3 linked regions of the Cricetulus griseus genome follow. The protein of the gene in region 3 interacts with the protein of the main gene of each other region in a biochemical or structural test. Links are inferred from orthologs where the notes say so. Each region holds a gene or a part of one and is shown on either strand. Other genes may lie near its edges.

The links.
Region 1: of the proteins of Chek2 (region 3) and Ppm1d, one has a biochemical effect on the other in vitro, tested with the Homo sapiens proteins (2 studies listed by BioGRID, with this or other methods). The link is inferred for Cricetulus griseus from reciprocal best matches to the Homo sapiens genes CHEK2 and PPM1D.
Region 2: the proteins of Chek2 (region 3) and Ppp2r5a form a complex in vitro, tested with the Homo sapiens proteins (2 studies listed by BioGRID and IntAct, with this or other methods). The link is inferred for Cricetulus griseus from reciprocal best matches to the Homo sapiens genes CHEK2 and PPP2R5A.

The regions. Positions count from the first base shown.
Region 1 is NC_048600.1:98,581,452-98,585,103, reverse strand, and holds part of Ppm1d (protein phosphatase 1D), read right to left. Parts: intron 3,568-3,652; coding exon 3,325-3,567; intron 1-3,324. UniProt on the Homo sapiens protein: Involved in the negative regulation of p53 expression. Required for the relief of p53-dependent checkpoint mediated cell cycle arrest.
Region 2 is NC_048598.1:3,684,715-3,688,366, reverse strand, and holds part of Ppp2r5a (serine/threonine-protein phosphatase 2A 56 kDa regulatory subunit alpha isoform), read right to left. Parts: intron 2,745-3,652; coding exon 2,652-2,744; intron 85-2,651; coding exon 1-84. UniProt on the Homo sapiens protein: The B regulatory subunit might modulate substrate selectivity and catalytic activity, and might also direct the localization of the catalytic enzyme to a particular subcellular compartment.
Region 3 is NC_048597.1:90,646,632-90,650,283, forward strand, and holds part of Chek2 (serine/threonine-protein kinase Chk2), read left to right. Parts: intron 1-2,255; coding exon 2,256-2,342; intron 2,343-3,380; coding exon 3,381-3,544; intron 3,545-3,652. UniProt on the Homo sapiens protein: Serine/threonine-protein kinase which is required for checkpoint-mediated cell cycle arrest, activation of DNA repair and apoptosis in response to the presence of DNA double-strand breaks.

The sequences.
Region 1 (3,652 bases), on a different chromosome or scaffold from region 3:
AGTATTTGGGAGACAGAGGCAGACAGATCTCTGTGAGGTCAAGGACAGCTGGTCTACAAAGCAAGTCCAGAAAGCCAGAGCTATCCAGAGAAACCCTGTCTCAAAAAACAAAAAGAAAAGAAAATTAGTGTAAGGGATAAGTATGGCAACTCTGTGGCAAAATGCTTCCCTGAGTTTGATGCCTAACACATGAGAAAAAATTCACTTCTAAGTTGTAAGTTAGCTGAAACTATAAAGCAAGCCTGTAAACATAGCTATTCAGGAGGCTAAGACAGGAGAACCGCAAGTTCAAGGTAAGCCTAGGCTATACGTTAAGTTCAAGGCCATCCCAAAGCAATGAACTGGAATATAACTTAGCAGTAGAGTGCTTGTGTAGCATCCACTAGACCCCAACTCTATCCTAGTGAAAAAAGCAAGCAAATAAGACCCCCCAAAAAATTATTGTCAATTAGTAATAAAATACTATGCTTCACCTTAAAGTGTGAAGAGGTAGCAAAACAGTAATAATAAACTCCCAGATACTGACTTGCAGGACCACAATACCTAAATTAAAAGTGCTTCTAAAGCCTGTGTGATAGAGCATGGCTGAAATCCCAACATGTGGGAGGGGGAATCAGGAGAAGCAGGAGTTCAAGGCCAGCCTGGGCTACAGAGAGTCTATTTTTAAAAAAGCTCATTGACACTTTTTATATTTGCTTAATAGGTGACGTAGCATGCTGCTTTATTTCCCACTTTAGTGGACAACCTCCTAAAAAATAAACTCTCACAAAGCCAGGTAAACTGAGTTCTAAGTAAGTCAATAAACAGAAAGATTGTACTCATTTAACTTTGCTCCTCAGCATACTTTTTATTAAAAGACTTAACTTCTTTTTATGTATGGGTGTGGATACACAGGAGGCCAGAACAAGGTGTCAGGTCCACTGGAGCTGGAGTCACATGTGGTTTTGAGCAGCCTGGTATGGGTGTTGGAAATCAAACTCAAGCCCCTAAGTGAGCAGCAGTTAAACACTCTTTATCACTGAGCCATCTCTCTCTAGCTCTGGCTCAGCACATCTTAAACTCATTCCATTTTAATTTTCACTAAAAAATAAGAATAGTCAGGCATGGTGGCATACTCCTGTAACCAAGCACAAAGGTAGGAGGATTGGGTTGGAGGCCTGAAATAATGAATCAAACAACTAAAATAAGACATTACTGTTTCTTACCCATGATAATTTAAAAAGGCAAGCCTAAGGTCCAATATCCTAAGGACCAGTTCAATCTTGATTCTATATGACTTTGCTCAAAATATTTAATCTCAGTGTTGTTATTGATAACATGGATCATATCAAGATAGCTCTGGATTATAGGTTTAAATGAACAATTAAGCATCTAAGTGCCTCACATATTTACAAAAGTTTTACAAATGTCCATAGGTTCATAAAAGGGATCAATAAATTTTACATGTTAACATTTATCATCGTCCACAAACATTTTTCTATTAAGATACAAACACACACACACACACACTCACACACAGTTGACTTCAAATTAGTCCTTTATGAAGACAGCTCTCTAAAGAACCAAGGATATGGTTTAGTGACAATGTGCCCAGCATTTACAAGGACCTGGCTACATATCTGGGCAGAGGGAAAGGAATTCTTCCAAGAAATCAATTATATAGCAAAGATCCATCATTTTTTTTAACTTACTTCAAATCTGAAGTTCTGTTTTAGTTAACCAGGTATGATTGTAGATAAATGTAAGCACTTGGGAGATCAAGGCAAGAGGACCAGGATCTGAAGGTCATCTTCAGCTACACAGCCAGTCTGAGATCACCATGGGCTATATATACATGAGACCTTGTCTCAAAAACAAACAGCCAGGTGGTAGCTCATATCTTTAATCCCAGGCCTTTGGAAGCAGACTCAGACAGACCTCTGTGAGTTCGAGGCCAGCCTGGTCTACAGATTGAGTTCCAGTACAGCTAGGACACAGAGAAACCCAGTCTCAAAAAACAAAATATAACAAATGAATACTTGGTCTCCAACTGGTAGAACTGTTTGGGAAGTATGCTCTTGCTGGGGAATGTGTGTCACTGAGGGCAGATTTTGAGGTTTCAAAAGATTTGAGAGACCCCCAGTACTCCCCCCACCCCCCCCCACTCTCTCTCATATCTCTCTCTCCTCTTCGTGGATCAAGATGTGAGTTCTCAGGGCTGACAAATGGCTCAGCAGTTAAGAGTACTTGCATTTGGGGCCAGGCCTTGGTGGCACATGCCTTTAATCCCAGCACTCGGGAGACAGAGGCAGGTGTATCTCTGTGAGTTCAAGGCCAGCCTGGTCTACGGAGAGAGTTCCAGGACAGGCTCCAAAACAAGAGAAACCCTGTCTCGAAGAAAAAAACAAAGAAAACAAACAAACAAACAAAAAACTTACTTTTGCAGAAGACCCAGGTTAAATTCCCAAAACCCACAGTGCAGCTCACAACTGTCCATATTTCCAGCTCCAAGGAATTCAATGTTTTCTTCTATAGAACCTCTGAGGCCACCAGACATACATTCAATGAAATAATCTTAAAAAATTAAAATGAGCTTTTAGCTGTTCTTTCACTCTACCATCATGGACTCTAATCCTCTAAATCCATAACCCAAATTAAGCACTTTCTTTTATAAGTTGTCTTGGGGGACTAGAGAGATGGCTCAGAGGTTAAGAGCACTGGCTACTCTTCCAGAGGTCCTGAATTCAATTCCCAGCAACCACATGGTGGCTCACAACCATCCTTAATGAGATCTGGTGCCCTCTGCTGGCCTGCAGAGATACATGCAGGCAGAACATTGTATCCATAATAAATAAATAAGTCTTTTTCTAAAAAAAAAAAAAAAAAAAGAAGTTGTCTTGGTCATGGTGTCTAATCAGCAATAGAAAAGTAAGCACACACTCAAAATAAAATAAACACTCTAAGCATAAATTTTATGTAATACTAACATAACTTTCAAACTGTAGAATGGTCTGAAGAACTCCCAGGGAGTAAAGTGTTTCCTATGTAAGTATTAGGACCTGAGTTTGATCCTCAGAACCCTTGTAAAAAACTAGGGATGATGGCACACAGTTGTAATTGCAGGCTGGGATTTACCGAAAGCCTGAAACTTGCTGACCAGTCAGTCTAAACTACTTGGTTGAGCTCCAGGTTCCAATGAGACCTCATCTCAGAAAACTAAACAGCATCTAAGGAAAAACACAAGGTTGACTCTGGAGACTACAAATTTGCACGCACGCGCGAACACACACACACACACACACACACACACACACACAGACACACACACCCTGTAGCACTGAATACCTTGACTGGAGGTGTAGAACTTGGGGAAGGAGTCATCACACAGGTTTCTTGGCTGTTGTAAGTAGGGCTCTCAGTCAGGTTCAGAAAGAGCTCATCTTCATTGGTGAAGTTCCCCTGATTGTCTGCTCCTGGAGAGATGCAGATTACAATGGCACTCGTGTTATCTGCGCGGAGCATACGCTGCCTCCAGCGGCCAAGGGCTCGGTTCACAAGCATTTTGGCACAGGATTGTCCATGCTCACCCTATATTTAAAAGAACAAGGAGAAGGAAGACCATTAACTCTCATTTACTTACCAATACATATGTATCAAATTAAAAGCCTGGGTG
Region 2 (3,652 bases), on a different chromosome or scaffold from region 3:
CAGGAACTTCCCATAAATCCGATGCAGGACTGTCTTCAGGAAGTCGCGCTCTCTGGGATCTTCACTATCAAAAAGCTCCAGGAGCTTGAAAAAAAATCTGACAAATTACTTTAAAAAAATAATCGAGCTAAAACTGCTATTTTTTATAACCAATGAAATATTTAACATTTTTCTAAATATTCTGCCAAGTAACCAAAACAAGCATGAATATTTTCAGTAAATTCATCTTTATACAGTCTTTATGTCATTTTAAAGAATATAAAAATAAGATTTTTTTTAACCTTGCCAGTGACTTTAAAATTCTTTCCTAACCTAATTTTTAGTGTGAAAATTTGAGAGATGTTTAAAAATGTTTTTTGAGACAGCGACCCATTATGTGGCCAGGCTAGTTGAACTTGTAATCCTTCTGCCTTTACCTCCCAAGTACTCATCCTGGGAGGCCAGCCTGACCTACACAGTGGTTAGACTGTCTCAAATAGCAAGCCCATATGCAAAGACACATGGTCTATCAAACTGCATGGAACCTTACATTCTGAACTGTGATGCTGGGTTTTACAAGACAGGTGACAAGCTCTCACCAGATGCTCTGACTCCATTTTGTCTTAATTATGTGGAGATTTCAAACCCAAGTAGAATTTCTGAGGTAGCGGTAAGTCACACTCACGTGCCCTACACAAATGACTTGCTTGTGGTTTGCACTCATTTTTGGCTAGATTACAGTACTGCATGAGGCTACAGCAAGAAATACCTATGGAACAGAAGCACTGATCCAAGTTATTATAGTTAAAAATGCCTAAACTTCTCATTTTAACCTTAACCTCCTGTTTCTGATGTTGGTTTACTTGAAAGATGATTTTGTTCAAAATAGATTGATCTCTAAGGGAAATACTAAGTTTGAGGGTGCTTGTTAGCTAGACTCTTATAACTAAATAAATCCAATTAGAAATGTCATATTCATATCAGGAAACCCGCTTTTTCTGGCTCTGTTGCCCTCAAACTATTAAGAGTAATTCATCAAGCTCGGAGGGTCTAGTTCAGCAATTCTCGACGCATGGGTCGTGACACCCTTGAGGTCTCCTAGCAGATGTACTACATACTAAATAGTTACGTTATTCATAATAGTAGCAGCAGTGAAATCATTTTATGGTTGGGAGTCAGCACAACCTGGGGAACTGTATTAAACTGTCGCAGCATTAGGAAGGTTGAAAACCACTGCTCTAGTTCAAATCCAGACTCTGCCATTTACTAGCTGTGTGGCACTGGATATGGGCTTTCTTTACAACAAGCTTGACATATTCAAATGATAGGTTCCATGTCACAAAAAAACCATGAATACATCTTAGTTTTCTTTGGAGATTCTCTGATTTGAACAAATTTAAATTATGCAGCGTCCTGCCTCCCATTCTGAGTTTTCAAACTTTCAAAAGCTGAGAATTTTCCTAGAGCAGTTTACAGACGCAGCCCCCAATCCCCCAGAGGCAACTGTAGGCAGCACACAGACCTGTCAGAGTAAGATTATTGTCTTGGCTTCCCACAGAGTTTGGGGTAGAGGTAGAAATGGTTCCCCCTCACACCCCAGAAAAGCCCAGCTTTCTGAGTGCCCAGAGCACCAGGCTGTTATTTAATGTGTGTGGCTTCCCTAGGTGCTGAGTGCGTGAGAAACATACAAGAAAATAAATGTGCCTTCCTCTTCAATAGCCCCAAAGACCCCACTTTAATTTGGCTGATTTTATTCATGCCTGAAGTGTATATTGTACTGTTAAAGAACACATAATCTTGTGTAATTTATGAAGGGACAGTTCTGAATATGTGGACTCTAACATCCAGAACACCTGACAGTGCTCTGAAAGGTCCTCATAACAGAGTTCAAATGTGCCCTCAGCATCAAATTCCTAACTGATAATGGCTTTAAAAGAGAAAATGGATAGAGAAACGGTTTGGGTTACTTTACAGTTCTGTTTAGGGGCAGACAATTTCAGTGATTAAAAGGCTATAAAACTGTCTTAAAAGCTCTTGACCATAAAAACAAATGGACACATTCTCAGAAATTAATTGCATGTAAGTTCTGGAATTAGAGTTAATACCAGTTTCTAAAAACCAAGAAGTCATTCCTCTCTTTACTGGTCCCATTTTATTTCCCCTGTGGCGCTAGGACAGGAATGACAGGCGACTGATGCTGGGTACCCAGAAAGGCACTCAGATCATCCCTCCCTGTCAGCTCGAAGTCACAGGTGTTTAACACAGAAGTTAAACACCCTTAGATGAAATGGTCACCCCAAACTTTTGAGAAACTGCAGAAAGGGCAGTTTGATTTCATTGGGTGCTCACTCTTGATACAAAACTCTTAATTTCTGAAAGCTACTTAAAAAAAAAAAGTGTGACCTGTGCAGGTCAGAAGACCACCTGCTCCCCTGAGACTGGAGTTAGCAGGCTTTTGTGAGGGGCCCTGTGTGGATGCCGAGACTTGAACACAGAGCCTCTGGAAAAGCAGGAGGGGCTTTGACCCGAGTCATCTTGCCAACCCCTCAAGCTGCTCTTATTTTGTTTGTCAAGAACAATTACTAATACTTTTAAGTTACTTATGTTTTGAGGGACTCGTCTTAAAAAGCAAGTGCTAGGACAGGAAGATCTGAGATCTAGGAGTCCCTTACCTGTTGTACAAACTTCTGATCAATGTATCGCTTTGCAATGCTGGGCTGGAAGTCAGGGCTCTCCAAGAATCTCAAGAAGAATTCATATACCAGCTGTGTAGGAAAGTAAAATAAAAGCAAAATAATGCCTATAAAATCATACCCTGAATAACACTTTAGTAAAAACACACCTCTCTGATCAGCTTGAGTTGGCAATTGTTTCTAAAAAAAAAAAAACAACAACAACAAAAAAAAACACCTTTTATAGTTTGGTTTTTGTCCTGATTGGCTTTTTTCAACTTGAGACAAGCCACAGTTATCTGGGAAGGGGAAGTCAATCCATAAAAATGCCTCCATTGGATTACTGTGGGAGGGCTCAGGCTCCCACAGGCAGATGGTCCTGGGATGTGTCAGAAAGCAAACCAGTAATCGGTGTCTATGGTTTCTGCTCAGTTCCCATCTCCAGTCCTTGGTAGACTGCTGTGAACCTGTAGGCCAGGGGACTCTCCCCTGCTCCCAGACCACTCTCGGTCATGGAGTGGTCATCACAGTGGCAGGGTCTCCTCAGCCGCAGTTCATCACTGTGCATCACTCATCAGTCAGAGTGACCCTAAGGTATCAGGGTTCCTTCCCCCATACTACCAGACTACCTCAACTTCACCCCTAGGGTCGCCTAATCACAGGCTCACGATGAGTAGGCAGTGTGCTCATACCGGTTTTAAAAATCACGTCTCCTATAAAACTGGAGTAGGGGATCTGGCAAGATGGTTCAGCAGGTAACAGTGCTTGCCGTCAACTGCGACCTGAGTACCCATGTGATAGAAGGTGGAAAAATAAAAAAACTAGACTCCCACAGGTTTTACACACACACACACACACACACACACACACACACACACACACACACAAAAGCAGAGCAGCAAATTAAAATGGAAAGCAGTACACTTGGAGAACAGACCAAACTGTACAAGCCAGAGCCTGAGAGAGGAAGGTCTGTACAGCAGAGCAAATAAAGCCGACAG
Region 3 (3,652 bases):
GTTCTGCCTGCATGTATGCCTGCACACCAAAAGAGGGCACCAGATCTCATTACAGATGGTTGTGAGCCACCATGTGGTTATTGGGAATTGGACTCAGGACCTCTGGAAGGACTACTAGTATTCTTAATCTCTGAGCCATCTCTCCAGCATCTCCCACCCCCACCCCTTTTGAGATAGGGTCTCACATAGCATAGGCTGACCCTCTGTAGCTAAGCCTAGCTTTGAACTGATCTTTTTGCTGTCACCTCCCAAGGCTTAGATTACAGGCATGCACCACCCTGCTTAGCCTCACAGTTCAGTTTTCATGATGGCTGTGATCTGTGCAGGCTTGATACCTCATTAGTTTATTCATTTTCCTAGTATACTGGCCAACAACAAGATGAATTGTGCGAAGATCAGTTGATGTAGGACTCCCCTCCCCCCACCCCAGACAGGGTTTCTCTGTGTAGCTTTGGAACCTATCCTGGCACTCGCTCTGGAGACCAGGCTGGCCTTGAACTCACAGAGCTCCATCTGCCTCTGCCTCCCGAGTGCTGGGATTAAAGGGTGCCACCAACGTCCGGCTTTTTCTTTTTTTATTCTTAAAAGAAGTATGACCTGAATTGATATTTTGTTTGTTTTCATTTTTATACTCCATTTCCAACAAGATAACTAAAAACAAAAAACAAAAAACAAAATGGTAGTCAACTTTTGCACCTAGGAATAGATTAATAGACTATTCACTTGTTATTTTTAACCTTTACAGTGTTGGAGGTTGAGCCTAGTTCATGCTAGGCAAGTACTGTATCACTGAGCAGCTGTATCTCTAGCTTTCATGGTGTTTCTGCTTTTTTTTTTTTTTTTGTATAGGGATCTTAAAGCCAGTGCCTGCCTTGTGCTATGCAAGTGCCTTGCTCCTGAGATACGCTTCACGTTTCACATTTTCAAAAAAAAAAAAAAAAATCTCTGTAGTGTGTGTGTGTGTATGTGTATGTGTGTGTAGGTTACAGGCAACTTGCAGAAGTTTGCTTTCATTTCATCATGTGGGTTCTGGGGATTGAGGTTGTCTGTAGCATGATAAATAAAAGACCCAGAGACTGATATTGGGGTTCAAGTGTCAGTCTGATGATCAGAGAAGCAAAGCAGCCAGACACTAGCTTTTTCCTCTACCTCAGACCAAAGGGGCGATCCTCAGACTGCTCCCAATTTAATTGCTCCTCAGATTCACTCAAACTGCTCTTCTCAGTTTGGCTAGAGACTAACTCTCAGACTGAATGCCTCTGCCTTTTATATCTCTCAAATACTGGGATTAAAGGTGTGAACCCTGATTCACTCTGGTAGCCCTGTATGGTCTTGGACTCAGATATCCATCTGTCTTTGTCTCCTAAGTCCTGGGATTAAAGGTGTGTATCACCACTGCCTGATCTCTATAGTTTGAGGTTGCTTTGCTTTCTGCTTTCGGGAAAGCTTTAGTAAATCATAAATATATAGTTGTCAGGCTTGGTGGCAAGTGCCTTTACCTGCTGAGCATAACAAAATATATTATTTTGATGGAATTCCTATGAAATGTTATCATTCATTTAAATTTTTATGGAAATAAACAACTTGCATGTCTCTTAGAGTGAGGGGATTTTTTGTTTTCTGGCATTGTGAAATGCAAGGTTATGCTTTTTTTTTTTTTTTTTTTTTTTTTTTTTTTTTTTTTTGAGACAGGATTTCTCTGTGGCTTTGGAGGCTATCCTGGAACTAGCTCTTGTAGACCAAGCTGGTCTTGAACTCACAGAGATCCGTCTGCCTTTGCCTCCCTCTGCTGGGATTAGAGGTTAAGGTTATCCTTTTTAACGATTTTCTGGTGCTGGGTCTAGTGGTGTATACCTTTAATCCCAGCACGCAGGAGGTGGACCTCTGAGTTCAAGGCCAGCCAGGGCTACACAGAGAAACCCTGTCTAAAGCCCTGGTCCAGTGCTGACTTTAAGGAGTGAGCTGACTTTTTTTTTTTTTTTTTTTTTTTTAATTTATTTATTTATACAGCGTTCTGTCTGCATGTATCACTGCAGGCCAGAAGAGGGCACCAGATCTCATTGTAGATTGTTGTGAGCCACCATGTGGTTTCTGGGAATTGAACTCAGGGCCTCTGGAAGAGCAGCTAGTGTTCTTAACCACTGAGTCCTATGAGTTGACACATAATACTTAACTCAGGCTAGGAGTTAGGTGTTGGTAACTGTCCTCATGTGTGTGTGGTATAAATCAATGGCCCTGCCTCTCTTTTTGTACAGTACCTTCATGAAAATGGGATTATACACCGGGACTTAAAGCCAGAAAATGTTCTCTTGTCATCTCAAGAAGAGGACTGCCTTATCAAGGTGAAAACTTTTCATCCTTTCTGTTGCTACTGCTGCATATTTCTGTTCAAAACTGTCTTTTAATCTCTTACATAAAAAAAAAATAGGACTATCAAAAGGTTGAGAATATGAACTATCCATACTTAACAGTTACTGCTGAGATCACAAAGTATTCCACCCATCTGTTGAGCACTTACTGAGTGCCAGTGTATGCAAGCTGCTTTTATGTGCCGAGGGAGGAAAGAGTCTCAATGGACCAGTGAGCCATAGATCCCACCTTTCCTTCTCAGCCTAGCCTCACTTTAGAATCTCCCGTTAAAATAACAATACAAAACCCAACAAGAAGACCCCAAGACATAAAACATGAGGGTGACAACAGGTGCCCCTGCCCCTTAAGCTTTTCTGATGTTCCATGGTGTAGTCAAATTTAAGAGTCTTGGGTTTAAGAAATATGTGTTAGTATTAGAGTCCTAATGTGTTTGTGTCAGGGGTTATGCAGTTTTTATAAGTTTATAATGATGATAGGTAAACCTGTCCCGGCTCGTGGGTCCGGTAATTTGTGTGTCTGAGGTGGACTAAGCATGAAAATAAATGGGCGAGAAAGAGAAGCCAGACCAAGCAGTGTCCTTGTCAAGGTCTAATTTTATTGATTATAAACAAGGAGTTTTTAAAGAGAAGGAAGTAAAGAAAGAGGAAGTGGAGGAGGAATGGATGTTAATTGCTCTCAGGCCAGGGCAGGTGTCCCGGAACCTAAGGGGTGGGGTGCTTGACTAATTGGCGGTTTAGCATGGAGGTCGCCAGGCTTCTTGTAAAGGAGGACTTTTTTATGTCTAACCAGGGCTGGCTCCTGACAGGTAAATTGGAAAAAACTTTGGTTCTCAGGTTCTTAGGCCCAGGGATTTTCTTTTAAGCAAAATTAAATGCTTTGCAAAGACATGAAATTATACACTTTGGGTTAATGGAGAGTGTCTGTATAATAGGTAATCCAGTTTCCATGGCTCTTGGGAATGATTGACTATGATTATGTTTGAATTTCATTTGTTCCATTTATAATTTTAGATCACTGATTTTGGACAGTCTAAGATTTTGGGGGAGACTTCCCTGATGAGAACTTTATGTGGTACGCCCACATACCTGGCACCTGAGGTCCTTGTCTCCAATGGGACTGCTGGGTACAGCCGTGCTGTGGACTGCTGGAGCTTAGGAGTTATTCTTTTCATCTGGTAGGAAACATTTTCTTTGCTTCACAATCTGGTTGGATGAGGTTGGGTGAAACTGTATCTGTGTCCGGGTAGAGAGCTTCTATTTGACTTAGGTCACTTTTAAATCGT